7 linked regions of the Ovis aries genome follow. The protein of the gene in region 7 interacts with the protein of the main gene of each other region in a pairwise test. Links are inferred from orthologs where the notes say so. Each region holds a gene or a part of one and is shown on either strand. Other genes may lie near its edges. The genes, in order: DDX6, TTLL10, CWF19L2, BRMS1, ZNF366, NKAPD1 and CEP70.

Region 1 (3,500 bases), on a different chromosome or scaffold from region 7:
TGCTGACCTGGATGCAAATTTGACTGACCTGTAGAGCAAGTTCTCTAGTGGGAACAATCACCATTGCTGGAAAATATCAACAAACAGAAAAAAGGAGAGAGGAGGGGGGAAAAGCCATATTTTAAGAGTTTAAGAAGCTATAGAAATATTGCCCCTTGTAATCAAGACACTCAAATGAATAAATTTCAAAAAAAGAAACTATTATAGTGTACCAGATTTAGACTTCTCCTCAGTAACAATGCTATACAATTCTTCTACTCTTCCTGGTTACAAAGCCTTAAAGGGTTCTTTGAGTTGGCAATTATTAACTCAAAATTTGTTAGTATTTTAGTAAGAGATCACTAGTCAAAATGCCCAAATAGGAAACTCCTGCTGCCCAGTTCTACTTATATCATATGAACATAATAGGAAGATGGCAGAAATAATTATAGATCAAGAAACCATGGGGAGAAAAAAACTGAAAACTTTACAAAAAGCTTTAGAGGTGAAAACATAGATCTACTGGGTACAGTTACGGAAATGTGTCTCTTCCATACTACTTAAGATTTTAAAATCCCCAAGCCACAAGGCTTCAGAGAGAAAAAGTTCCTGCTTTTACAAGGAACTCTGCAGACACAGCTGTCACAAGAAACATTCTAGTTCCAGTTCCATAGTTTTAAGTATCTATTTCAGACAATTTAATTTTCCCTATCTACAGGACAATAATTCTTATTTTGCCTATCTCACTGGAATGTTGTAGTAACTGTAAAATATGCAAAATAACCTTAAAAACTAGAAATCTCTTTTTAAAAGTTAGGAATCATTTTTACAAGACAACTAGGCCATAAGCTGTGAAAAGGGTAAATACTAATTTCATATGATTTAAGTTCCAACTGAGAAAAGATGGTAATATCTTCTATACAGCTCCAAGATTTAAATCAGCATTTATAGTTTAAACCAACCTTGTATATTGTCCTTCTTCAGGTCTAGCCGTTCAAGTAAGGGAATGAGGTAGGCACCGCTCTTGCCTGTTCCGTTTTTTGCTCTAGCTAAAATATCCCTACCAGATAAAGCAATGGGAATGCTCTCCTCCTAGAAGAGATGGAACAATGCATATTACTTGTGAATAAAATCAGTACATAGGCGAGTTCTTCTCTAAAACACACTGAAAGTATACAAAGTTCCTTGGTATTGAAGTATTTTACAAAAGACCAAATAAATTAGCAGTACCAGTCAACATCACCATTAGTATCAACTTACATTTATCAGAACTACTCATAAAATACACACTAAATTTAGTAATAAAAACCTTTGAGTTTGTATGTGTGAGCATCAACAACAGAAAAAGAGGAGGAACTTGGGCTGACACAATAAACACACAGGGGAAAATAAGCGAAGGACATTTTGCAATTAAAAACAAAGAAAAAACAGCACAAACAATATTCAAAAGAAGGACTATATGATATTCTGAGACTAGTAAACCAACTTGACCACAGTGAAAAATTGTAGGTTGGACAATTTTATTTCTACATAAACAGGACTCAGATGGAAAAGTTTAGTCTTGGGTCCTATCTTTTTTTAAAATTGTATTACATAATGACCAATGTCTGTCTCGCAGCCAACTTCTGTCCTGAGATGTGCCCTGACTTCTCGTTTTCAAATCTGGCTTACTCGTGTGTTTTGCAGACATGAGTGTTTTGCAGAAGATAATATTTCTTATTAGGGCAAATTTCCTAGACAATACCAAAGGATTCTCAACAATTACTAAATATTAAATATACATACACAGAGAGAAATTAAAAAAGGTAAAACAGGTATGAACAGAGGAAGCAGAACACTTCTATTTCTAAAACTAAAAAATTTTAATTTCTACAACTATAAAATTAGAAAAATAAATTAGGAAAAATATTCACAATCACTGTAATTAGCTCTTTCTATGCTTGAGCTAATGACCAAAACAAATATCTCTAGCAATTTAAAACTGTTACTGGAGAAATACCCAAGTCATAAGCATCATGACTTTCATTTCCTACCATGACACTTATTTTAGAACCCCAATCATAGGGGTCAGATGGGTTCCATATAATCAGAATAACTAACACTGTTGCCAGAACAACTGTGAAAATAGTTCAGTGACAATACTCTGTTAATTTACTCCGACAGCCAGCATTGAACAGTCTGCTTATTATGTAGGGTGAAGCAGGTCAAAGAAAGCCTTGGTTTGACCCTCTGGTCTTAAATCCTTCCTTGCTTGACCACATGTGTTACTCAGCCGTGTCTGACTCTCTGTGACACTGTGGACTGTAGCCCGCCAGGCTCCTCTGTCCACAGGATTTTTCAGGCGCGAACACTGGAGTAGGGTGCCATTTCCTCCTCCAGGGATCCATGTCTCCTACAGCTCCTGCTTTGCAGGGAGATTCTTTATCCCTTGAGCCACAACTCTGAGTCAACTCTATTAATCTTCAGTTGTCCCGAAGGCCAATTATCACATGGGTTCAATCTCTATTATGGTTTTTGAACAGGTTACCAGTATACAACTCAGTTTGACAGCAGAAAAAGACTTTAGTCTCTCAGTGACTTCCTGAGTCAGGTCCTTTAAAAGGATAAGATACCTCAGTGAAGTCAGACAGGACAGAATTAGATTGGGGGTATCCTAATTCCTTTTTGGGGTTTACATTATGGCTTAAAGGCCACTGACTTCTGTTTCTCTGCTCTTTGACAGGACTTATGTTCCACAGAAACAGAAACTGTTTAAGGATAGGGCTACAACAAAGTAAGCTAGCTAGCCTGTAAGGTAAGATGCACTGTACTTTGTCTCATATGGTGGCTATTATGATTAGCAGTCAGAGAATTCAGTATATTCACTGTCTCTTATCACTGTTTGCTAGGAAGATTAAACAATCCGAAGTGAGGAAATTCAAGCCAGATTCAGACAGCTTTGAAACTCAAGAGAAGTCATGGGGAACTGCCAGGGAGAAGGAGGAAGGAAGCTAAAAATTTTAAAAACTTACTGTGATGGGTACTACACTTAGATACTTAATGTTAATTATATCCTTTCAAGTTAGGTTACTTTTTGTCTTACAAATGGCAAAATGGATCCTCAATATTGTTTTGCACAAGGTGATTAAGCAAGAAATGCTAGAATCAGGATTTGAACTTAGGTCTGCAAATAAGAGAAACTGGAACCTCATACACTACTAAGTAGAATATATAGCCATTTTGGGAAATAGTCTGGCAGTTCCTCAAAAAGATAAAAAATTACCACATGAACCAGCAATTCTACTCCTAGGTATATGCCCAAGAGAAATGAAAATACCTCCACAAAAAATTCTACATACATCAGTGTTCAAAAAGGCATTATTCATAATAGCTAACAGTGGAAACAACTCTACCAACTGAAGAATGGATAAACCAAACGTGGTATAGCCATACAGTGGAATATTATTCAGCAATAGAAAGGAATAAAGTACTGACACATGCTACAATATGGATGAATCCTAAAATATGCTAAGTCAAAAAGC
Region 2 (4,103 bases), on a different chromosome or scaffold from region 7:
GGAGGGGTCAGGGGGATCACAGCTCCAGCTCCCAGAGCCTTTGTTGAGCAATTACCCTTTTTTTTTTTTTTTTGCCTTACTGCACAGCATGCGAGATCTTAGTTCCTGGACCAGGAATCAAACCCACAACTCTTGGGTTGGTAGGGGAAACCTTAACCACTGGACCACTGGGGGATGTCCCCACAATCACCTTTCTCAGAATCTCTCTAACAGACTCATTCTAAATAGAAAGCTTTTGCTGGAAGATGTTCAGGGAATGTTATCACTGGCGATGCAGCTTGGGCAGCCGCGGCCCCACGGGCAGGATGGCACCAGGGCTCCCAAGACGGCTGCAGCAGAGCAGGGACCGTCAGTGGAAACCCAACTTTATAATGAACTTTTAAAGAAGCCATTTACCTGGTCAGGTAAAAAGACCAGCAGGAAACGGCACCCTGGTGTGATGAGTGGAAGACCTTGGTGAATGAAGCTGAAGGAAACGTCCAAGAAATGAGATGCCACCATGCCCTACTGGGCCCATCCCCAGATATACGCTTGGCCACACGGGCGCTTGGGAGTGCTGACTTTGCTCATCCGGCTGGTGCTTTCTGGCCAGGGCTAAGCTGTTTGGGGGATGTGGGTCCCTGTGGATTTTAGGAGGCCATCCTTTTGGGGTTTGGTCCAGAGAGACAGACCTGGTCTTGAGCAAAGCAGCTGGTCCTAAGGAGCTGCCACCCCCGGGAGGCCTGCCCTGCTCAGCCTGGCCTGGGTGTCTCTGTTCCTCATCCTATGGCCCTGGGTGCTTGGGCCCTCTTCAGAGGGGGCTCTGCCCAGCCAGGCCCCTCCTCCCCTCTTCTCCCTCCCCTCCCTTATACTCCTGGACAGAGTCTTAGAGGACCCATAGGGCTCCTGGGGGCTGCGGGGCCAGGTAGGGGCCACAGCACAGCTGGCTCCAGCCTTCATGCCCAGCCAGGACCCCACTGTGGCCTGCCTGTCCCTCTTACCTGCCCCATAAGGTGGTGTGAGCCCTCTGCCCGGAAAACAACAGTGGTGACCAGGCAACTGTCTCCCAGCAACCACAACCCAGTGGCCCAGAGGTGAGCAGGTGGATGGGGAGGGGCTGGAGGCTGGCCCGGGGGTGGGGGCAGGGAATGACTGAGGTTGGAAGAGGGGCGTTACATGCACAGCCGCCATCCGGGTCCTCCATCCGGGTCCTCCATCCTCCAGGGTCATTCCTGAGCCTTCTCAAGATCCCCAAGTCTATGCCCAGACCGCAGGCCTGACCCACTGTGCTTCAGCTGCTACCCTTCACTTCCGCTCACCACAGCCTCAGCACGTGGAGCCCTCACTTAACAAAATGAAAAGTGGGGCTTTGCAGACCCATGCCTCCGCAAGGCATGGGGAGATGGGGCTGACAGCCAGGTCTGGGAGTCCAGGGGCGGTGGGAGGGCCTCTGGCTGCCCTGCACGGCCTCTTCCTCCACCCTGCACCATGCTTTGCATGGGTCACCAGGGCGTCTCCCCTTAGAGTGCCTTCACTTGCTTCCTGTAGGGTGGACGGCAGCCCCCTGCAGTGTGTGTCCACGTCCTAAGGCCCAGAACCTAGGGATGTGACCTCACTTGGAGAAATGGTCTTGGCAGATGTAATTATCTGATGGGCCCTAAATCCAGCAACCAGTGTCCTCGTGAGAGGGAGGCAGGGAGCAGGAGACACAGAGGGGAGAAGCCAGTGGAAGGTGGGCAGTGGCCAGAGGGCCACAAGCCCTGTGGCCACAAGCCTGGGGACACCTGGAGCCCCAGAGGCCAGAAGAAGCAAGAGGGACCCTGCTCATACCTGGACTTCTGACTTCCGGCCTCTGGGACCATGAGAGAAGTCACTTTCATTGTTTTAAGCTACCAAGTTTGTGTAGTTTGCTGTGGCCACCCCAGGAAATTAATGTGCCCAAGTCCCTCCTCCTGACTCCTCTCAGAGACTGATGCGCCCTCAGCTGTGTGCTGCCTGTGCCAGGCACTGGTGGCCTCAGGGCTCAGTTCTGCTGGACTGTGGTCTGAAATCCCTTTGCCCGAGAGTTAGTCTGTGGGAGCGGGGAGAGCTCCCCTAGCTGAGCTATTGTCTGAGGGGCATCCTGACCTCAGGGTGGTGGGCCCTTGCCTGGGCCTGCAGGGGACAAGTACCCTTGGGTGTGCAGGGGGGCCCCTGGTCACCTGCAGTCCGCTCAGTCTTCCCACTGGCCCGAGCAAAGACTTTTGGAAGTCTGTCCTCCCCAGGAGCCCATGCCTCCATCCCTTCATTTCTAGAGACCCAGACTCTAGGGGCTGGGCCAGCCCACCTCCCTGCTCCTCTGGTGGCTCCTCATGGGTTCTCAGGAGGCAGCCCCCTGCCCATGTGGTGACACCAAGAGCTCAGACTCAAAAACTGCCTTGTAACTTGAAGCTGGTGAGGGAGCCAGCCTGGCGGCAGCCTTTCCCACAACAGCCCAGGGCTGGGCCATTGGTCACATCTACAACCTGGAGCAAGGCAGCCCAGCATGAACTGGCTAGCCTTGCAGGGCAGATACCTCTCCCCTCTCCTCAGGCCTGGCTGTGCTTGGGCTGAGTACCCTAAGGGCTGAGTACCCTGAGGACAGTAGGGGATAGTCAGCCCCTCTCTGGGAAAAGGCCCAGTGCCCCTCCTGCTGTGGTAGTTGAGGGTCTTCCCGGCCTCCTACAGGGAACTGGCACCTTTGCTGGGGCTGGAAAGCCTCCTTAGTGGCCCCCATGCAGCCTCTGGCCTCTGGGTCCCTCTGCTCAGAGAGGCCTTCCTGAGCACCCCCACCCCTTACCCCCCACCCCACCCCTGCAGCCCCTCCACCCTGCCCCCCCGCCCCTGCTGTACCCCCACTTCCGCCCCCCACCCCAACCCCTGCAGCCCCTCCACCCTGCCCCCCTGCCCCTGCTGTACCCCCACTTCCGCCTCCCCCACCCCAACCCCTGCAGCCCCTCCACCCTGCCCCCCGCCCCTGCTGTACCCCCACTTCCGCCTCCCCCACCCCAACCCCTGCAGCCCCTCCACCCTGCCCTCCCGCCCCTGCTGTACCCCCACTTCCGCCTCCCCAACCTCAACCCCTGCAGCCCCTCCACCCTGCCCCCCCGCCCCTGCTGTACCCCCACTTCCGCCTCCCCCACCCCACCCCTGCAGCCCCTCCACCCTGCCCCCCGCCCCTGCTGTACCCCCACTTCCGCCTCCCCCACCCCACCCCTGCAGCCCCTCTACTTCTCCGGCTGCTGCAGCACCAGCAGCCCTGCAGACCACATGCCCTGCCCAGAGCCTTCTCGCTGTCTGTGGCTCCTTCTCAGGGACACTCCTCCCCTATCCCCAGTGTGTCTGGAGCTGCACTGGCTTTCCGAGGGCACTCAGGAAAGAGTGGTCACTGAGGAGGGAGGGAGGGACAGAGAGAAGGGCCCTTCTACCCTGACTCTGGCCGCAGAGCCTGGGTCAGAGGCATCAGCCATGGACTGGGACCCTAGGGCCTGCTTAGAATTCTCAGGGAAGGAAGAGGCTCTGGGGGCACAGCCATGAGGCTGCGAGTGGGACTGGCAAACACTGTAGACAGATGATGTCTGGATGTGGAGCAGAGGGGAGGGGGCAGGACCACCAGGCCTTCCAGCGGTACCTGGGTATGGGGTGTGATGGCCTGGTACCTGGAGAGGCCTTCGACCACCCAAGAGCCAAGTCAGGCCTATGGGGACCCAGGGGAGGAAGGCCAGCACCCTCAGGATCCTGGTGCCACCTGGGGTTGGGGAGGGCAGCCTGGGGTGTCTCTAGGGGCACAGGGAGTTGGAGTTGCTTCTATCCTGTACTCCTCATCCCCCACCACTGCCTGGCATAGCGATTAGGGTGCCTCCCTGGAGAGGCTCCTGGGGGGCTCCAGGGATGTGGCTGCTGCAGCCCAGGGCTCTCATGGCCCAGTGGCAGCGCCAGCAGTATGAGCCTATCGCCAGTGCACCTGAGCTGAACAGGAGCCCCCATGCTTTATTACACCAACAGTCCATTGTGTCTGTGACAGAAAGCCCTCTGGGGGTCCCAGGGCTGGGGCGTCAGGTGTGGCCTGGGCCTGGGCGGAAGTGTAGCACTGCTGGGACCCATGG
Region 3 (4,140 bases), on a different chromosome or scaffold from region 7:
TTACCACAAGTGGACTGGAAACTTGGATCTAAGCTTTCTACCAGCCAACTCAACTAATACAATCTTTCCAATATCATGTCCAAAATATCAATATATACTACTCTAGCCAGAAAGACAAATATTCAGTACTGTCAACTATGTGATATTCATTCTTTAACTTGTGAAAAAGAGTTTATAAACTTGCTCCTCCAGTATTAACTTGAATAAGTGCAAAAAAAAAAAGCTTACACCAAGTAAGCCTAATAGTATTTACCTGTGAGATTTGTTCAACTCTCTTAATCACATCAGGTAGCATCCATGTTTCCTCACCCCGAAGTCGTTTCAGTTCTTTACGCCTTTCTTCCTTTTCAAAATTGGCTTTAGCCTAAAACCGTGAAAAAAGAAAAATTAACAACTGACCCACCTACTTCTCACCAAAAAAGCAAAACAGAAACCTCCCCCACTTTCGTGCAAGGCTCACCACAAATTTGCTTCTATCAAAGTGTGTGTGCATGCATACTAAGACACTTCAGTTGTGACAGACTCTTTGCAACCCCATGGACTGTAGCCTGTCAGGCTCCTCTGTCCATGGGATTCTCCTCTCAAGAATACTGGAGCGGACTGTCATGCCCTCCTCCAGAGCATCTCCCCAAACCTCGGGACTGAATCCGCGTCTCTTACGTCTCCTGCACTGGCAGGTGGGTTCTTTACCACTAACACCACCTGGGAAGCCCCTACCAAAGTGTAAGAAAGATTAAAAACAACAAATTCTCCTTCCACATTACCAATTGCATTACCAATTAGCAATCACTAGTGAAAGGAACCGGACTTCCCTAGTAGCTCAGGTAGTAAAGAATCCGCCTGCAATGGGGAAGACCTGGATTCAATCCCTCAGTTTGGAAGATCCCCTGAAGGAGGGTGTGGCAATCCACTCCAGTATTCCTGCCTGGAGAACCTCATGGACAGAGGAGCCGGGTGGACTACAGACCACAGGGTCACAAACAGTCAGACAGGACTGCATGAGGAAGCACAGCACAGTACAGTGAAATGAGCCACCAATCAAGGACAGAATCTTGGGACCTACTGCAGACCTCTTCCTGTCCCCTAAGCTCCCTACTTTAAAAATGACTTGAATTTCTTTTCCCTTCGCTATTCCACTGACAGCGCCTGATACTTCTGTAACTGTTAGGAGACTGACCTCCATACCCTCAATCTGCAATGTCCATAACCCTCTACCCACACCCTCAAAATGCTTCAGAAAGAATCACCTTTCTAAAAACAAATGATCATATTGATAAGTTTTTATCATTCAAAAACAGTCAAACTAAGTAACAGCTTCCTAAGAAGTTGTTCCTGCCTTTTCATTCTCTCCCCAAATTTCAAAGCTAGGATTGGTCCTTCTCAAAATTCTGTACATAGATATACTATAAAATTTATCATAGTTTACAAATCCACTCCCTCCAAAAACTCCCTCTGAAATATCAGAGACAAGGATGAAGGATATTTATTATACACATATATTACATATGTTGAAATCAGGGACCACCAATCTTTCACCTCTGTAAGACTTATTGCCCTTTTCTTCCCCTGTAAAATCTGACTGCAGTCATTATAACTTCTCCTTCCTATCTCCTACACCGGTTCCTTATTTGCATTTAATGGAGAAGGAAATGGCAACCCACTCCAGTACTCTTGCCTGGAATATCCCATGAACGGAGGAGCCTGGTAGGCTGCCGTCCATGGGGTAGCGAAGAGTCGGACACGACTGAGCGACTTCACTTTCACTTTTCACTTTCATGCACTGGAGAAGGAAATGGCAATCCACTCCAGTGTTCTTGCCTGGAGAATCCCAGGGACAGGGCAGCCTGGTGGGCTGCCGTCTGTGGGGTCGCACAGAGTCGGACACGACTGAAGCGACTTAACAGCAGCAGCAGCATTTAAATGTGTTTTAAACGGTTATAGCTTAAAACAGATAAAATAATGATCATCACTTGTTTCACCTTACACTGTTCTCTAACTACAACTTTTCCCCTTCACACTTCTTTTCCCCTGCCACACTTCTCACATCTTCTGAGCTAAGTCAATAGTACAGTTTACTTCCTCCCTTCCTTATTTTACTTCTACTCATTTCAATCTTAATGAAAAACACGTTTCTCAACTTTTTTCGAGGAGCTAAATTTTTTAGATCTCTGTCTCAGTCGCTGTTTGGTTCAGTACGGGTTTGCAATAAGCCGGATAACTGACACAAATAACTTAAAAGGAGAATGAAACGATCTACTCTAACGTGCCTTACACGAGTTTCTGAAAACGGAAAATTTCATTTCAGATATAACAAGACGGAGGACCTAGGCTGTAAGATATGCAGGGAAAGTAGTGGGGTCCCTCGAAAGTGCGCAGCACAGGTGATCAGGTGCTAGAAATGTCAAGCACGGATGCTTTAAAAGATAAGGAACGTCAGAGGAAAGGAACAAGTTTTCTGGAAAAGAATATGAGCAACTGGAGCCTTCCAGACCATCTAAGAGGCAGAAGATACCAACAGTGTGCGAGCATCCCAAAGGAAAACATCTATCCCCACACAACTAGATACGGTAAGATACTGAGGAACTGAAACAGGAAAAGGTGCAGGGAGGCAGGAGAGCTAGACGCCTGACTCCCAGAAAGCCTCCACTCTCAAATCTAAATGACTCCCAAAGCCTCAAAACTGAGGTACCTGGCGCAACACCTCGGTCCTGGCACTTCGAATCTGTTCTTTACGCTCTTCGATGCTACTCGCACTTTCAAATCTACCCCCGGCAGCCGCCATAGTTGTTGTCGTAAAGCTAGGAAGCCGGCACAAAAATCTCGGTTTACGACTGTCGTAATTTAGTAAACAAACCGGGACTTCCGACTAGGGGGAGGAGGGAATCTGCGCCACCAAAAGAGCATGCGCAAACCGTTGCTTATTATTTCGGTAAATTGTCTACCCCTTAGGTTTGGAAGAAACCGAAGGTTAAGTCAAGGGGTTACACTCCTTCGTGTATTGGGGTTGCCCTGAACAAGACTTGTGTCAGCGTACATGTATTACGCAGTTTGCACGGGACTGACGGCATGTCACAGCTGAAGTGGAGTCGCTCAGTCGTGTCCGACTCAGCGACCCCATGGACTGTAGCCTACCACACTCGTGGGATTTTCCAGGCAAGAGTACTGGAGTGGGTTGCCATTTCCTTTTCCAGGGGATTTTCCCGACCCAGGGATCGAATCCGGGTCTCCCGCATTGACGCTATGCGACCCCATAGATGGCAGCCCACCATGTTCCGCCTTCCCTGGGATTCTCCAGGCAAGAACACTGGAGTGGGTTGCCATTTCCTTAGATTAAAGGTACATGTTGTAAAGATTTCTACCAAAGTGCCCTTATCGCCAAAGAGGTTTCCCTGTGCTGGAGGAATGGACTAAAGGAAGGCTGGCCAGAAAGACAGTGCAAGCTAGCAGGAGAGAAGACTTGCTTTGAAGAGTGAGCAGTTTGCTTTGGTGGATTTTTTTTTTTTTTTTAAGCACAGTATATGAAAAAGTCATGTGAATTTCGCATTGCACTTCATAATTTATACTTGTTTAAAGTGTAACATTTTTTCTGACCTCATACTGTTTGTTCATACTGTCTCAGTAACAAGTGAAAAAAAAAGAGGAATGGGTATTTTTCTTCCCTTTCCAGAGAATAAAGAAGATAAAAGAGAACAGCGAGCAGGCCTGAATATTTCTAGTTGTTCTTTTTTTGTTTTTGTTTACTTTAAAAACTCCTAACTTTGAACGTAACTAAATTTGCTCTTCTGCCCCTTAACTGTACAGGAGCTACACTTCACACCTATTTTCCTTTGACTGTGTTAAATACATCTACTATCTGGTGTGAAGGAGAAGGGGGCATCAAAGGATAAGAAGGCTGGATGGCATCACCAATGCAATAGACAAGAACTTGGGCATGGGAGATGGTGAGGGATAGGGAGGCCTGGCATGCTGCAATCCATGGGGTCTAAGAGAATAGAACGTGACTGGGTGATTGAACAGCAACATCTGGTGTTTCAGTTCAGTTCAGTTCAGTTGCTCAGTCGTGCCCAACTCTTTGCGACCCCATGAATCGCAGCATGCCAGGCCTCCCTGCCCATCACCATCTCCCGGAGTTCACTCAGA
Region 4 (4,192 bases), on a different chromosome or scaffold from region 7:
TGTCGATCTCCTGCAGCATGTACACGATGTAAGGGCCTGAGATGGGGGTCAAGGAAACAGGAGACGTGGGGAGGGGGCAGGGGATGGGACCGGGCCCCCAGCCCAGGGGGTGGGAGGTGCCAGCACTCAGAGGCGGCGGTGCCGTGGATGGCGGGTTGGGGAGCCGAGCACCTGGGGCAGCACTCAGGCTCCACCTCCGACCTCGTGGCTCCTGGGTTCTTAGCAGGGTGGAGTGCGTGGCTGCGGCCTATTTCAGTTTCACCCAGTCCACAGAGGGCGTTCAGCCCCTTGGCTCCCTCCTCACCTCCTCTCAGGCCTCAAGGTCAGAAGGCCCAGGCCCAGGCCACCCACTCAGGGATCTCGCCCCCTGTTCCCTCAACTGGCCCCACCTACACGCAGACTGTCATCTATCTCTTCTGTCCTGAAAACCACCCTCCATCGGTCTCACCCGCCCGTCTGGGGACTGGCCACTCTGCCCGCTGACGTCTCCACACCCTCACCTCCCACCCCCGCTCAAGCCTCTGCAGTCCAGATCCTTCCCTCCCTGCTTGAACATGATCCCCATCACCAGGAGGTCAACTTCCTGATAATCTGACTGCGGCAGAAATATGGAGGGGTGTGTATACCTGAGAATTCAATTCAACTCCGTGCTGGGCTATGCGAGGGGGGGAGGCCGGCACAGCAGGCCCTGAACAAGAGGGGCTCACACCTGGGGGGCGGCAGAGGTGACTATGTCCAGAAGGGAGGCAGGTGCCCCCGTTCAGGTAAAGGGGTGCAGAGGAGAGGGAAGCCACAGCCATTGTCGGGGAAACCAGGAGAGGCTTCACAGAGGAGGTGACAATTGATGGGCACCGAGCAGGCAGACAGGTAAAGGCATCCAAGAGGGGAGTGTAAAGTCAGCAAAGGCATGGGGGTGGGAGAGCCTGGGACATGCCCAAGACACTGTGAGAAAGCCAGAAGGGCCTCAGAGGAGACCTCACTCAGAAAACTATGGGGAAATCTCTGGATGAATGCTTCTATTTTTCCATGGTCCACACAGGCCAGGAGGACCCTGCAGAAAATTCAACAGCTGATCTGCCTGGACACGGCCACAGGAGGCCAGATGACCTTAAGTGAGTCTGGTCTGCCTCTGTCCCCCATGTGCCTCCACCCTGACCTCCTGCCCAGTTCAGGCCACTGTATGGGGAAGGATACCGGAAACGAGAGGCGCCTTCTTCCTCTTGTTGGGTGGCAGGGAGTCCCATGTCTTCGAGCTGCCTCTGGCATGCAGTTTGTCATCCCACCACTCTGCGCCCCAGACCAGAGTCAGCATCAGGGTGCCGTCCTCCCAGGACGCCCCACCCCTGAAGCCTGTGTCCCTCACGTGGGCCAGGCCAGCCCATCCCCATCAACCTCCCCAGGGCAGTGCAGAGAAGCCTGGGCTTGGAAGCTGAGTTCAATCCTGGGAAAGAGGTCACTGTGCTTCTGCTAACCTCAGTCTCCTCATCTGTTTCATGGATGGGGGTGTGAGATCATTAGTCCCTCCCTCCCCAGTGCCCTGTGTGAATGGGCACACTGTGGCCATGGCAGGGGCACGTGTGTCAGAATGATGCCTCCATTCTGGGACCAGCACGGAGGGAGGGCACCCCCAAGCTGCCACTGTGCACCAGGCACCGGGCTGGGCCCTTCCCCGCCTGCTTTCCGTCAGTCCCCACGGTGAGCACGGAGCAGGCCCTCCTACACCCACCCCCATGCAAGCGGGGAAGGCAAGGCCCAGACAGGGAACGGGCGCTGGAAGCACAGGGGTGCCGGCTGGCCGCTGGCCTCACCAGAGTTGATGTCCAGGCTCTGGCGGTCCTCCTCCAGCCTCTGGATCCGCTCCTGCAGCTCGCCCTGCAGCGTGTCGTACAGCAGCAGCTTCTCACTCTGCAAGAGGCGCAGCGGCTCAGCTGGGCGGGGCGGGGTGGGGCGGGGCGGCCACCTCCTCCCCACCCGGCGCACCCACATTCACCTCCAGGTGCTGCTTGGCTCCCTGCAGCTCACACTCATACTTGTTCCTGATCACGTCCAGACAGAAGCCCTTGTAAATCCCTGCGGAGGGAGGGCGATGGGCGGCCGGGCCTGGCCAGGGCCCTGGCTGCCCACAAAGGCGGGTGAGGCAGGGCACGGGTGAGAGGGGAAGGGGACAGAGAGCCGTGGGTTCTCATAAGGGGACGGGGCACAGGACGGGCCACAGACCTGCCACCTGAATGCGAATCTTGAGGCTCCGCTGCAGCCCCCCCAGGGGCTCCGTGTATTCGGGTGCCCTTTCAGCTCCCACTTCCTCCAGCCGCACCCGCAGCTGACTCAGTCGTTCCCTGAACAACCTGGGAGGCGAAAGGCAGCCGTGCGCCCGTGTGCCCATCTGCTAAACACGTGCCCAGCGCCCCGGGTCAGGCCCTTGCTCACACCGGCCCTGGCTGGCGCCAGGCCCTCCGCTGCCTCCTGGAAGCCGGGCCCCGAGCCCCGGGCCCCTCGCTCACTTCTCCTTCAGCTCCGAGAACTGCTTCTCCAGGTCCATCATCTCACTGACGCACTCGCTGCGGCGCCGCTCGTAGTCCTCCTCGTCCATCTCTGGGACAAGAGGCCAGTCAGGGCCGGCTGCGGGGGCAGGCAGGGCGCTCGAGGGCGTGTGGGGCTCACCTGAGCTCTCCTCCTCGGACTCGGTCTGGCTGCCGCTCCGTTCCTCCTCGCTCTCCTCCTCCTCCCCATTCATCTCGGCAGCTGAGTCGCCCTCTGCTTCCATCTCCTCTGTGTCCTTGCTTGGAGGCTGGACGGGCATCTGGGCGCTGGGAGGAGCAGTGGAGCCATCACTCGCCCCTGTCCCCAGCTCCGAGTGGCAAAGTGGTCACTTGGGGAGTCAAATCAAGCCTCGCTGTGGATGGGGACAAGCAGGGGAGGGAATGGACTGGACTCGCTGGGCCCTAGGGACATGCAGGGTGGGGCAGGTACAAATGGAACCATCTACACATCTCCCAGAAATCTAGGAGCCACAGAAATGCCCATCCCCTTGGACATTGTTGGTGATCACAATCCCCGTAATATTGGCCAAGGTGATGATCTGTAAGATGGGAAAGGCCAAGATGGGCTCTCCACTGCCTACGGGACTGGGCCAAAATTCTGACCCAGGCTTTCGAGGCCCTGCACACTGGACTTGAACCGCTGTCCAGCTCCTTCACCCCACATCTAATGGCCAGTTCTCAAATACACCACGCACTTCCTCCCCAGCCCCTGCTGCCCACTGTGCTGTTCTTCTGCCTATAAAGCCCTCCACTTCTCTTCCCACCCTACAATGCTCGGGTCCTCTCGCTATGCTCAAATCCTACCTCCTTCTGCCTCCTCTAAGACCCCAAGTCATCAGTACTCCACTCTCTCTTCTGCATGCTCAATTTTCCCTCTTGGCAGCTCTTAGGAAACTTTAGACATGTTTAGGTATTTCCCAACATGCAGAAAAAGCAGAAACACAAAACTTCATCCCACTCCACTCAATCACGGCCCCCATTTCCCATCTTTGCAAGGTCTTGTAAACACATGCTCTTCCTACTCTTTCACCTTCCACTTGTTCCAATCTGTTTCCATATCATTGCTCTCAGCTGAAACTGATCCTGTAGAGTTAATAGATGACCTCCTTGTACCCGATGCCAATATTTTTTGGTCTCTATCTTGACTTCTCAGCAACAAAGAACAGTGTTAAACATCTTTTTACTCACTGATTTAATCTTTATTGAAAAATCTAACATATGCTAGGTACCATCAGACACTATGGTAGGAGCTTGGCTCAAGTGCGGCAGACAGTTTTCTGATCTCAAGGAGTTGACAAGTTCCTGGGAGAGAGAGGCCAGGAAGCAGAAGAGTTAAGACCAAGAGCATATGGGAGAGGCAGCTAAATGAAACCTGGAGCTTGCTGCAGCAGTGAGGGCTTGCAGAGGATGAAGGGCCAAACCCATGAGCTGAGCTGGCTGAGGAAGAGAAAGCATTCTAAGGAGAGTGAGTGGCATGAAAAAGACCCTGAAAGGAGAGAAGGGGCAGGGGTGGGGACACATGGGTCTAAGCCTCAGAGAGAAATCTGGGCTGCAGAGATCTGGTCATCACATTGAGTGAGTTCTTCAGACCTTGGGAGAGTGTGCCACCAGCAAGGCAGAATGTGTGGAGTGAGAAGGGGCTCATGATGGAA
Region 5 (2,964 bases), on a different chromosome or scaffold from region 7:
CTCTGGAGAAGAAAATGGCAACCCACTCCAGTATTCTTGCCTGGGGAATCCCAGGGACAGAGGAGCTTGGCTGGCTACAGTCCGTGGGGTTGCAAAGAGCTGGACACGACTGAGCAGGTAACACTACTACTCCTGAGATGATTCTAATGTGCAGGCAGCACTGAGAACACAGCCCCGCAACTGCTTTCCTAGCAATGGTTATTCCAATACTCTAAATAAGTTACAGCTGAAATGTCAGGGAGAATTCTTCCCCCAACCCTGTAGCTCCAGCACTGATGAGAAATCCACTGCTCACAGGGTGCCAGCTCTTCCTGCAGCTGCTTTACAAGGCGTGAGGCCTTGGAGCAAGGTCTCCAGGAGGGAGCCCTGCTCAGGACTCAGGGTTAGCCTGCAGACGCTGAGCACTGCTGGGCCATCAGAAAATACGCTCCTATGCCACATCTGATGAAGGCAGCGGGAGCTGAACAAGGCAGACCCAGGCAGGAATCTAAGCACTGCTGGTTTTCCCTTAATGAAAATTAATCACATTCTCTTGAAATTTTATCTTATATCTGCAGCAACTACTCCAGAACATCCTCTTTAAAAACTCACCCTCCTGTCATTTCTGATATTTTTTTTTATTATTTAATAAAATGATTTTAAAAATATATACCACTACTACTATTTTCATCTATCTGGAAAAATATAACTTTCACAAATTCAACTAAAGAGTTATTAATAAAGTAACATGTCAAGCACCATATTTTTGCAACTAGAAAGAAATTTACCATGTTAGTCAATGAAAAATAGAATTTCTAAAAGCACCTCAGCATCAGCTTACAATTAGATGTCTAGAACAGTATGTACAGTTAATTGTACTGGAGATCCATGAAACAACATTGAAGAAGGCCCTCCATGTGTGTTAAAAATCAAGGGCCCAAATGCAAGATCTGAGAAGCATTTGCTTCTCTGCTCATCTAAGTCTGCGCCCTTTGTCAAGATTCATGCCCTTCTCGTCTCCAGCAAATGAGAGCTCATGCGGAAAGCTGTATCTGCACTGCCTAGCTCTCATTTTCCAAGTGTAATTCTTAAACCGTCCACTTAGATCCCCAAAAGCACTGCTTGTTTTTCCATTTTCCTCTCCAGTAATTCTTTTAAACGCTCATCTCTGTGCTTGAAGTACAAGTAATCAGAAAAGGCTGGGCCCCTCCGGGTGCTCGGCAGGACCCGGAGGCCAGGCCGCTCGTCTCTGCGGGCGAACTCTCGCTCGGGGCCGCCCTCGGGCCCCAGGCTGTCGCGGCTCTTCAGCGGGCGGACCCCTGGAGGCGAGGCCTCCTCGGCGGGCGCCTCCTCCCCAGGGCCCGGCTCCGGCTTGGCAGACAGGTCCTGCGGCGCGCAGAGCGGCGGGCCGCGGGGCCCGGGGCCCGGGCTGTCTGGCTCCACCTCGTAGCAGTTGTCTTCGTCCTCCTCCTCGTGGCAGGAGCTGCCCCGGGCGCTCTCGCCGTCCGACTGGAAGGCTGGCCCCTTGGCCTGGCGCTTCTGGGACAGATCGAAGGGCTCCTCCTGCTCCAGGCTCCGCAGGGCCCCCGCGGTCGGCACCAGCGCAATTCTCCCCCTTCCAAAACCTGCCAGGAGCAAAGGCACGTTCAGGCCGCCGAAGGGGTCGTTGGGTGGAACCCAGGGCTAGTTAGCATAACTTGATTTTGCATTTTAAAACTAGATAAATCCCCAGAAGGCTGTAGAGAGACGGGCCTTGTCACAGCTGGAATCTATATCCGTGTGACTCCTTTCAGGGGACTGTGGCAACGTGCACGAAAAACTTTAAAAATAAGCACACCTTTAACTTAGCCAATCACAGGACTGAAAACTTAAACTATGAAAATAGTCTGGCAGATGCAAAAACTGTATAAGGATGGGTGAAAACAACGTATCCATTTAAGGACAGAGGTGTGTTTACATAAATAGTAGTATCTCCATGGGGCTTCCCTGGTGTCTCAGACCATAAAGAACAGTCAAGGTATTATGTGTTAGAAGGTATTTCTATGTGTATAATATGTCGATACCTCTTAGTGCTCATAAAAGGTATTCTCTATATACTTTAAGTAAAAAATATATATATTTATTGTATAGACTCTATTTTATCTATCGAAAAATGTCTGGAAGGATATATGTCAAAATCTCAAAAATGGGTAACTATGAGGTGATTTTTACATTTTTCTTTTCACTTCGAATATATTTCTTTTTACTTTTAACAGTGAACACATATTTTACCATAAGGAAAAAATAACAAAGATATTTTCATTGTGGAAAAAAAAACCAACAGATATTGCATTTGGGTCCAGGGCTCCCCAAGCACAGACAGAGCTGGAAGGGCAGAGGAAGGTGCACCGCGGTGTTCGAAGCCCCCTGCCCAACCACAAGTGTCCCTGCTACTGGACACGGGGAGGTGGGCGGGCCTCACTTTCAGGGATGGGCTTTCAGCAGCCAGCAGACACTTGGGAGGCGCGACCCGTCCGTGGTGGGCCAGCGGCCAGGCCTGGAGGGACAGGTGGGGATGACTGAGGAGGAGGACAGCAGGGAGGGCCTGGGGGTGGCCAGACCCTGGTGCCCAGGGAGAAGCAGGCTGCTGAGGTGGGGACACACCAAGGAGGCCGATCTCCAGTGCTGCCTACCTTACCGTGTTGTCAGGCGATGAAGCTATCGGTAGCTTTAATCTTGTCAGGGACAGAGGGAGGATCTTTTTAATCTGGGTCATGATTCTTGAGCTATTTCAAAAACTAGAGTGAAGAAATGCCAAAACCTTTTGTAGATGAAAGCATTAACACTGTCGGAAGTCTGTTACAAACTTTCAAAGCAACTCTCTGATAATATAGTGATGCTCTTGATTTTTCCAGAAGAATGACAGTCTTTAGGTGCCTGTTAGGATATGAGCATCCACGTGGGGTAAGTTCTGGTGACCGAGTTAGATTGTCAGATGGAGCACTG
Region 6 (4,258 bases), on a different chromosome or scaffold from region 7:
CACTGTTTTCATGTGAATCCCTCATTATCTCTCACCTGAAATACTACAACTGTCTCCTAACCGGCCTCTCTACTATTTCAACCCATCTGATCTATCCCCTCCCCAGCTAACAAATCATCTTTCTAAAATATTAATACAGTGAAATAGTGAAAACAGTGGCTGACTTTATTTTTCTGGGCTCTAAAATCACTGCAGATGGTGAATGCAGTCATGAAATTAAAAGATGCTTACTCCTTGGAAGGAAAGTTATGACCAACTTAAATAGCATATTAAGAAGCAGAGACATTACTTTGCCAACAAAGGTCCATCTAGTCAAGGCTATGGTTTTTCCAGTGATCATGTATGGATGTGAGAGTTGAACTATAAAGAAAGCTGAGTGCCAAAGAATTGATGCTTTTGAACTGTGGTGTTGGAGAAGACTCTTGGAGAGTCCCTTGGACTGCAAGGAGATCCAACCAGTCCATCCTAAAGGAGATCAGTCCTGGATGTTCATTGGAAGGGACTGATGCTGAAGCTGAAACTCCAATATTTTGGCCACCTGATGCAAAGAGCTGACTCATTGGCAAAGACCCTGATGCTGGGAAAGATTAAGGGCAGGAGGAGAAAGGGACAGAAGAGGATGAGATGGTTGGATGGCATCACTGACTCAATGGACATGGGTTTGGGTGGACTCCGGGAGTTGGTGATGGACAGGGAGGCCTGGCGTGCTGCGGTTCATGGGGTCGCAAAGAGTCAGACACGACTGAGCAACTGAACTGAACTAACTGAACATCTCTAACCTTGCTTAAAAATAATTAATGGTTTCTTTATTGCCTACAGGCAAAAGTCTGATCTCCAAGCATCACAATCCAACTCTAATTGACCACTCAAGCCTCATCTTCTGCCATTACCTCCCAAATTCTCCACTTTATGGATGCATACAATTTCTTCCCTTAAGTGCTTCATGCTCCTTACCATATGCTACTACATGATATTCCCTCTGTGCTGAATGATCTCTGACATCTGATAAACTTGAACCTGTTCATTAAGAACTAGTTCAAATATCAGCAGTTCAAATACCACCCATTCTGTGAAGCCTTTCCCTATTTCCCAAGGCAGAGTTCATTATTCCTTCCTCAGTGGATGAAAGCACTCTGTGTATGTCTACATTATAATACTTACCAAATTATATTCTAACTATGTATTGTATCTTTGTCTCTTCGAACTGTACCAAAATCACTCCAAGCACACTGTTAACCCTCCTTAACCATGAGGAATAACTAAGGTGTATCTCTGACCTTATTGTGAGCATCTGTGTGCCGGATGACATTTCTCAGGAGGACTTTCCCCAAAGGAACTCGCGACATTCTTCAACCTGAAATGAATCAATAAGTAACATTTAATAATTTAATATGTTATCTTTTATCACTATGCTATAATGAAACATGAGCTAAAGAGAAGATTTCCGAACTAGAAGTCAGTGGTCCTGAGGAATAGTTTTTCCTTCACCATTAAAAGGGGAAAACACCTGTCCACACTAATGTGAGGATGAAAGGAAATAATGTACATTAGAGTTCTTTGAAACTGCACCAAATTAAGTGCTTTCAAGAGCACCATTTTATTTAATCCTTAAAATAACTGTTTTATGTTCCCTGGTGGCTCAGACAGTAAAGCGTCTGCCTGCAATGAGGGAGACCCGGGTTCTATCCCTGGCTCAGGAAGATCCCCTGGAGAAGGCAATGGCAACCCACTCCAGTACTCTTGCCTGGAAAATTCCATGGACAGAGGAGCCTCGTAGGCTACAGTCCATGGGATCGCAAAGAGTCGGACATGACTGAGTCACTTCACTTCACCTTCATTCCTTTTCTGTAGATGACATTCCCTTAAAGCCATACCTTGCTCCAGGGCACACAGTCCAGGGCAAACAAAGTTCAGATTCGAAATCAATTCCCAAATCTCCAAATTAGTTTACAGTTAAACACCTAGATTTAAGAGCTTCAGGGACACAAATGTCAACAGTAACAAAAACTGATGCCTAAAAACATCAACTGCAAAGATGCCCTACACTATTTCATTCAAGGGAATTTTATGTTCTATTTTGTCCAGAAGCCTCCAAAAAATAAATGACAGACATATTCACATGTGTAGCTATCAGGGGCTTTGGGCAACCACCCCACCGCTCACTCACCCCTCGATCCTGAGGAAATCAGGCATCTTGTTAGTGTGAGACGAAGAACCATTCCATTACAAGATCTCCTCCGACCCAGGAAGCCAAGGAGTCAGGGCTCAAAGGCAGCTCTGCAGCTTCACCCGAGTCCTTCGTGAAAACGCAGCCTTCCCACCAGTTATTCCGCCCTCACCCGTGGCCCAGGTCACGGCCGCCGTCCCCTCAGCCCAGGCCGACAGGCAGATTTCTCTCCGGACTGAGGCCGGGGGCTGCTCCGGCGCGGAATTCGGGCGGCCGGGTTGGCTGGGGCATTCCCCGCTCACGTTCCTCTGGGACGATCCCAGGGGTTGGGTTTCACTCCCCAAAAAGGGATAAGGACGCTTTGGACCGGTACGACTCTTGACTGGGCCCCAAGATGTATCTAGAGTGGCTGAAGAGGGGGTGGGGCGGGGGGAGGCTTCCAAGTGGAAAACAGAGAAACTACCCCTATCTTCGTCACCGGGACCCTTGCTCCCCAGCGGCCACGGGACTCCTGGTAACTTTCCTTCCAAACACCCTCCCCACACAAACACACACAAACACACCCATACCGTGCGCCGCAGCCTCGCGTAGCGGGGTTGGGGGGGAGGAAGCTCTCTGGGAGAAGAGAGATCTGACTTCCCTTCCAGGCCGGAAGTGGTGCTCATGGGAAATTCTTCCCACCAACAGAAGTCCCAAGGATTCCCACAGAAGGGTTTCCAGGACACTCTAGAAGTCTTCGGAAGTAGAACGGGAAGCAAGGTCCGTCCTGGAAAAGAAGTGGGTCAGGCTCAGCCGAAAAGCAAGCCCAGCACCAGAAGGAGAAGACTCGGGAACTGGATGTAGAAAGATAAGACCTTTTTGTCTGGAGCTTTCCGGACTCAATTAGATGTTGTCCCAGTGTGGTTACCCTGGTAACAGGCGTCGCGTTTTGTCAAGTAACCAAAGGAAGAGGTAGGTTCGCCGACCTCTGGAAAAATTAAATTTCCCATTTAGTCTAATCTTAATGTAGTATTTGGAGAATCCTCCTCATTCTGTGGATGCTGTGAGATACGTCTCCATTGACGGAGGGGGCTTAGAGGGAGGTTATCTCAAGTGGTAGAGAGAATATTATTATTCTTGGCAGGTGTTCCAGCCTCTCCGTATTAGCTTACTTAATTCTCACGATAACCCTATGAGATACGTATTATCGCCTCCATTTCGAGGAGAATAAACTGAGGCACATGTGTAAATTAATTTCCCAAGATCACACAGCTAGTAAATGATAGAGCTAAGAGTGGAATCTCGGCATTCTGGCTGCAGAGTCCATGCTTTTAACTCCTGAACTATGCTGATTGAGGAAGTCTCATGTGGCCGTCAACCCACAGCACACTTCTAGCAAATTCAGGCCCCAGTTAGCATATACCCGGGTGTTGAGACAAGAAAATTCCGAGAAATCCAAACTTTAAATGACCTCTCAAGCGGAGAAGGCACTGGCGACCCACTCCAGTACTCTTGCCTGCAAATCCCATGGATGGAGGAGCCTGGTGGGCTGCAGTCCATGGGGTCGCCAAGAGTCGGACACGACTGAGCGACTTCACTTTCACTTTTCAGTTGCATGGATTGGAGAAGGAAATGGCAACCCACTCCAGTGTTCTTGCCTGGAGAATCCCAGGGATGGGGGAGCCTGGTGGGCTGCCGTCTATGGGGTCGCACAGAGTCGGACACGACTGAAGCGACTTAGCAGCAGCAGCAAGGCTTGTGAGGGTCTATGCAGAGGTAAGGACTTACCATCTGAGAGAGCATCTTGAGAATGTAAGAAAGGGTACTAAATAGAATATAAGGAAAAGATAAAACAGTGCTGATCCATAATCTTTTAGGCACTGGTGTTAAGAATAGCTGTCAACTTCAACAAAACAGCCCCTGAACTGTTCCTCCTCCCCGCGAAGAATAGATTTGAGGTGAAATTTTTTTCTTCCTTAAGTCATGTCTTTCTACAGGCTTAAGAGGCCTATTCATCTATATCATGGAGTCATCCTCAAAGGGTCTGCTTACCCAGGTTACTCAGTTCTGGAACCTCTTAGATGATCTGGCTGAAAGTAACCCTGAGAGCTA
Region 7 (3,500 bases):
TTAATAGCACACCTAGTAAAATGTTTGTTAATGACAAACTCACTGTTAATCGCTACCTCAAAGCAAGTAAAATCATATTGCAGGAAACAAACTCTTTGAGACACAAGGCAATAAATACATTTCTACATTTTCACATCTCAAGTTAAACTTTCAAATTATGTCTTCCCTTGCCATGATCGTTTCAAACGTATGAGCATGAATAAAGTACACTCACTGTCTCCGTTGCTTCCAGTCTACATAAAATTGGCCACAAAAAATTATGTTCAACTAGGCTATACACTCTAATCAGATATGCCTTTCATTTACTCATCTTCTTACCAAATTTTAACTTACTCGTTCCTTTATCTTCTACCAAACCTTATCTCCTCTTCTAATTTAATTTCCTATGTCAAAGAGTTATCCTTTAAAAAACAAAAAAAACCTTTCTACTTCAAATGAGCTACACAGAAAAAATATTAATCATAATGAATTAATGAAGTAAATAAATCACTGTAACCTTTTTAAAAAGTAATTTTGTTTTGTTGGGATTAGGGAATCTTAGTTCCCCTACCGAGGATGAACCTACACTCTCAACAGTGAACATACAGAGTCCTAGCCAGTGGACCACCAGGAATTCCCTAAAAAGTGTTCTTAATGGTAAGATTAATTATTTTTATAGCCATAATAAATCACACTTAAAGTAAGAGATGTGGGTTTTTATTTTGCCTATGATTTCTAATTATATTTTTTTCCCCTTAAAGCCTTCAATCTGACCAAGAGTGTAAATGTATCTCTTCCCTTCCACAAACTTATAAATTTATCTTTCTACAGATGTTTACGTTATATTATTTCTCATCATCTGAGGAAATTAAATTTAAAAAAAGAGAGTAGGTAGGAGCTATCTTTTTTAAAAAAAAAAAAAGGAGGAAGAGGGGGAAGAAAAATTAAAAACACACCTATCAAGATCATAAATTCTACAGACATTTCTCATTATCCAGTGACAGTCAGGGTTAGAGTGGGCCTAGCCAGAATAATGTCATTTCTCATTTTAAGGTCCTAAAACAAAAGGCTCAGCTCCTTAAAGAATATGTGCTTCTGTGTTCTGTAGATTAACCCCAACCAACTTTAACTGCAAAAGTTGGAAGTTTGTTTTCACTACTATTAGTGGTTTCCACTTTCTACCACTCTAGGTAAAAACACTAATACAGTGACTAAGGAACACTCTTTCCTCAAACCCAATGCCATCCTGAGACTCAATATTTAACCACCTCCGACAAAAATCTTACCTAAGATTTTGAGTAGATCATTAGTAAATGCCTGAAATGCTGGGAAAAATTCCTCATGTTCTTCCAATTTGTGGATAATGCTTTAAACAAAAAAAAGCACAATTTATACTGAATTTCTGACTTACGATTCTTACATTTGATTGGACATAGAACATTTCAAAACAGAAAGAAACTGTCCTGGTAATTTAAATACAAATTTAATGATTATTTACTGCAATCTTTCCTTCTGAGCTCTTTGTTCATCTAGTAATAGTCTTCTAAAACAACAAAAAAAAATCTACTAGCGGTATAATCATCTGTTCTAAGGTTAAATCTAACATTTCTAATATGGGAATTTTCCATTTAGCTTGAGGAGTCTTAAGAGACCAATGTTTTCTAAAAATAATTGATTTTCATATCCTGTATTCTATTAAACATTAAGAATAAGTATCAGTAATCTGTAAAACTGGGAGGGAGAAAAATACCAATAGTGAGACATACGTTCCTTTTAAAATCATCAAGTGTCAGAAACCTCAAGTGTCAGATTAGGTTAGGGTTCCTCTTGGAAAACTTGCAGAACGTATGGAACATATACTTCCCTTATGCTGCAGTATAAAATCTGAGGGAGGAGGGAGGAAGAGTACAGCTATAACATTTTGACATTAAAAAAAATTAGGTTTTATGTTGGAGATGCCTAGCTTTAAAAAAGAAGTCCTTAATATTTTATCAAACAATGCACATACTCTTAGTGATTAATCAGTGATATATGGTAATCTACTAGAAACTAGACTTACTTATATATTCTGAATTAACATGAAGTTGCTGACAAAGTTTGACTTTCTCCAATTATAATTTCCCTTGGGAATAAGCTTATATCAAAAATGCTAGAGTCCTGACTCAGACCCCCAGAATCTACTTTTATCTTGAAAATATTTGATATTCTCTCCATCCCTAAGGTGTGAAATTATTTTTACAAATGCTATTCCAAACAGGAAAGGTAAATAACTTATGAAGTTTTGAAAATCTTTAATTTTACTCCAAACATTCTGGACAATACTTTGCAACCTTTTTAAAATAAATACCTTTGAAGGTCTTCTGGTCCTAATACCTGCATAATCTTTTCATTCACATCTTCATTAATCAGCCTACACAATTTTCCAACTGTGCTCACCAGCACACACAATGAGGATGAACTATCTGCAAAAGAGAAATAAAAGGAAAGAATATTTTAAGGGAATTTTCAAAATTAAAAATCAAATCAATTAAATTAATTAAATCAAACGTTATGTTTCTGTTACCCTCAATTTTTTACCTACTTTTTGCTGATTTATTAATGGGGCCTCCCTGGTGGCTCAGACAGTAAAGAATCGGCCTGCAATGCAGGAGACCCAGGTTCAATCCCTGAGTCAGGAAGATCCCCTGGAGAAGGGAATGGCTACCCACTCCAGTATTCTTGCCTGGAGGAGTCCATGGACAGAGGAGCCTGGTGGGTTACAGTCCATGGGATTGCAAAGAGTCAGACTTATTAAAAATCATTATTAAGTGGGGGGCCAAAATGAAAATGAGTCATTACCTAGTTCTAAGAGTTCTTGGAGGTTTCTCACAGCATTGTTCAATTCTCCAAGCCTAGTATAAATTTCATTCATTCGAGGATAGACGCCAGTTAAAGAAGGAACATCAAATAATTTTTGGAAGTGAGAAACAATAGCTCGCAAAATGTGGAAGTCTGGCATATTGCTGTCCTGCCCAAAAGAGAGGAAGTAAAAGAAAGTTCACATCTTAAAATTATTCCAAATCTTATAAAAACTTTAACAAGAGAAAGAGTTATAGTAGAATATCTGTATCCATATCATTAATTTCACATTAAAATGTGAATGTCTATATAAGTACTGGGTAGTATTACCTTTGCCTTATTTTCAACTTCTTCTAATATGGTATCTACTATGAACAATAGATCTTCAACTCTGACACTTTCATTTTCATCCTGCTTCTTTAAATTATGCCAAGGCACCAGTTCTGTAGACAGTATTTTCAAGGACTTATATAAATCCTTCATAACAAAAGAAATAATATGCTATTATGCATTTTTAAAGTTTTCATAATCATGTTAATAAAATATAACTATCCAAGCAGATGTAATACATATATTAACCATCATCAGTATTTTTTAAAAAATACCGTTACCTGTTTAGAAAGAGTCTTTTAAATTCATTTTCTTCAGGCCTTACAAAAAACATTATACATATACTGATTATC

Evidence for each region.
Region 1: the proteins of CEP70 (region 7) and DDX6 interact in a two-hybrid assay, tested with the Homo sapiens proteins (2 studies listed by BioGRID and IntAct). The two-hybrid records come from large-scale screens. The link is inferred for Ovis aries from reciprocal best matches to the Homo sapiens genes CEP70 and DDX6.
Region 2: the proteins of CEP70 (region 7) and TTLL10 interact in binary tests that used the Homo sapiens proteins (3 or more experiments, as listed by UniProt). The two-hybrid records come from large-scale screens. The link is inferred for Ovis aries from reciprocal best matches to the Homo sapiens genes CEP70 and TTLL10.
Region 3: the proteins of CEP70 (region 7) and CWF19L2 interact in binary tests that used the Homo sapiens proteins (3 or more experiments, as listed by UniProt). The link is inferred for Ovis aries from reciprocal best matches to the Homo sapiens genes CEP70 and CWF19L2.
Region 4: the proteins of CEP70 (region 7) and BRMS1 interact in binary tests that used the Homo sapiens proteins (3 or more experiments, as listed by UniProt). The two-hybrid records come from large-scale screens. The link is inferred for Ovis aries from reciprocal best matches to the Homo sapiens genes CEP70 and BRMS1.
Region 5: the proteins of CEP70 (region 7) and ZNF366 interact in binary tests that used the Homo sapiens proteins (3 or more experiments, as listed by UniProt). The link is inferred for Ovis aries from reciprocal best matches to the Homo sapiens genes CEP70 and ZNF366.
Region 6: the proteins of CEP70 (region 7) and NKAPD1 interact in binary tests that used the Homo sapiens proteins (3 or more experiments, as listed by UniProt). The two-hybrid records come from large-scale screens. The link is inferred for Ovis aries from reciprocal best matches to the Homo sapiens genes CEP70 and NKAPD1.

The regions. Positions count from the first base shown.
Region 1 is NC_056068.1:29,112,375-29,115,874, forward strand, and holds part of DDX6 (probable ATP-dependent RNA helicase DDX6), read right to left. Parts: intron 1,072-3,500; coding exon 942-1,071; intron 67-941; coding exon 1-66.
Region 2 is NC_056065.1:50,636,746-50,640,848, forward strand, and holds the start of TTLL10 (inactive polyglycylase TTLL10), read right to left. Parts: upstream 2,801-4,103; 5' UTR 1-2,800. UniProt on the Homo sapiens protein: Inactive polyglycylase.
Region 3 is NC_056068.1:15,697,041-15,701,180, reverse strand, and holds the start of CWF19L2 (CWF19-like protein 2), read right to left. Parts: upstream 2,801-4,140; 5' UTR 2,783-2,800; coding exon 2,690-2,782; intron 365-2,689; coding exon 254-364; intron 1-253.
Region 4 is NC_056074.1:40,819,862-40,824,053, forward strand, and holds the start of BRMS1 (breast cancer metastasis-suppressor 1), read right to left. Parts: upstream 2,801-4,192; coding exon 2,662-2,800; intron 2,593-2,661; coding exon 2,502-2,592; intron 2,346-2,501; coding exon 2,218-2,345; intron 2,071-2,217; coding exon 1,991-2,070; intron 1,906-1,990; coding exon 1,809-1,905; intron 1,288-1,808; coding exon 1,195-1,287; intron 37-1,194; coding exon 1-36. UniProt on the Homo sapiens protein: Transcriptional repressor. Down-regulates transcription activation by NF-kappa-B by promoting the deacetylation of RELA at 'Lys-310'. Promotes HDAC1 binding to promoter regions.
Region 5 is NC_056069.1:9,288,153-9,291,116, reverse strand, and holds part of ZNF366 (zinc finger protein 366), read right to left. Parts: intron 1,605-2,964; coding exon 1,081-1,604; 3' UTR 1-1,080. UniProt on the Homo sapiens protein: Has transcriptional repression activity. Acts as a corepressor of ESR1; the function seems to involve CTBP1 and histone deacetylases.
Region 6 is NC_056068.1:22,066,709-22,070,966, reverse strand, and holds the start of NKAPD1 (uncharacterized protein NKAPD1), read right to left. Parts: upstream 2,801-4,258; 5' UTR 2,737-2,800; exon of another isoform or gene 2,168-2,736; intron 1,355-2,167; 5' UTR 1,347-1,354; coding exon 1,278-1,346; intron 1-1,277. Other genes in the region: PIH1D2 (PIH1 domain-containing protein 2), read left to right, coding at 4,170-4,258.
Region 7 is NC_056054.1:251,250,955-251,254,454, reverse strand, and holds part of CEP70 (centrosomal protein of 70 kDa), read right to left. Parts: intron 3,295-3,500; coding exon 3,148-3,294; intron 2,987-3,147; coding exon 2,818-2,986; intron 2,442-2,817; coding exon 2,327-2,441; intron 1,864-2,326; coding exon of another isoform or gene 1,845-1,863; exon of another isoform or gene 1,346-1,844; coding exon 1,266-1,345; exon of another isoform or gene 1-1,265.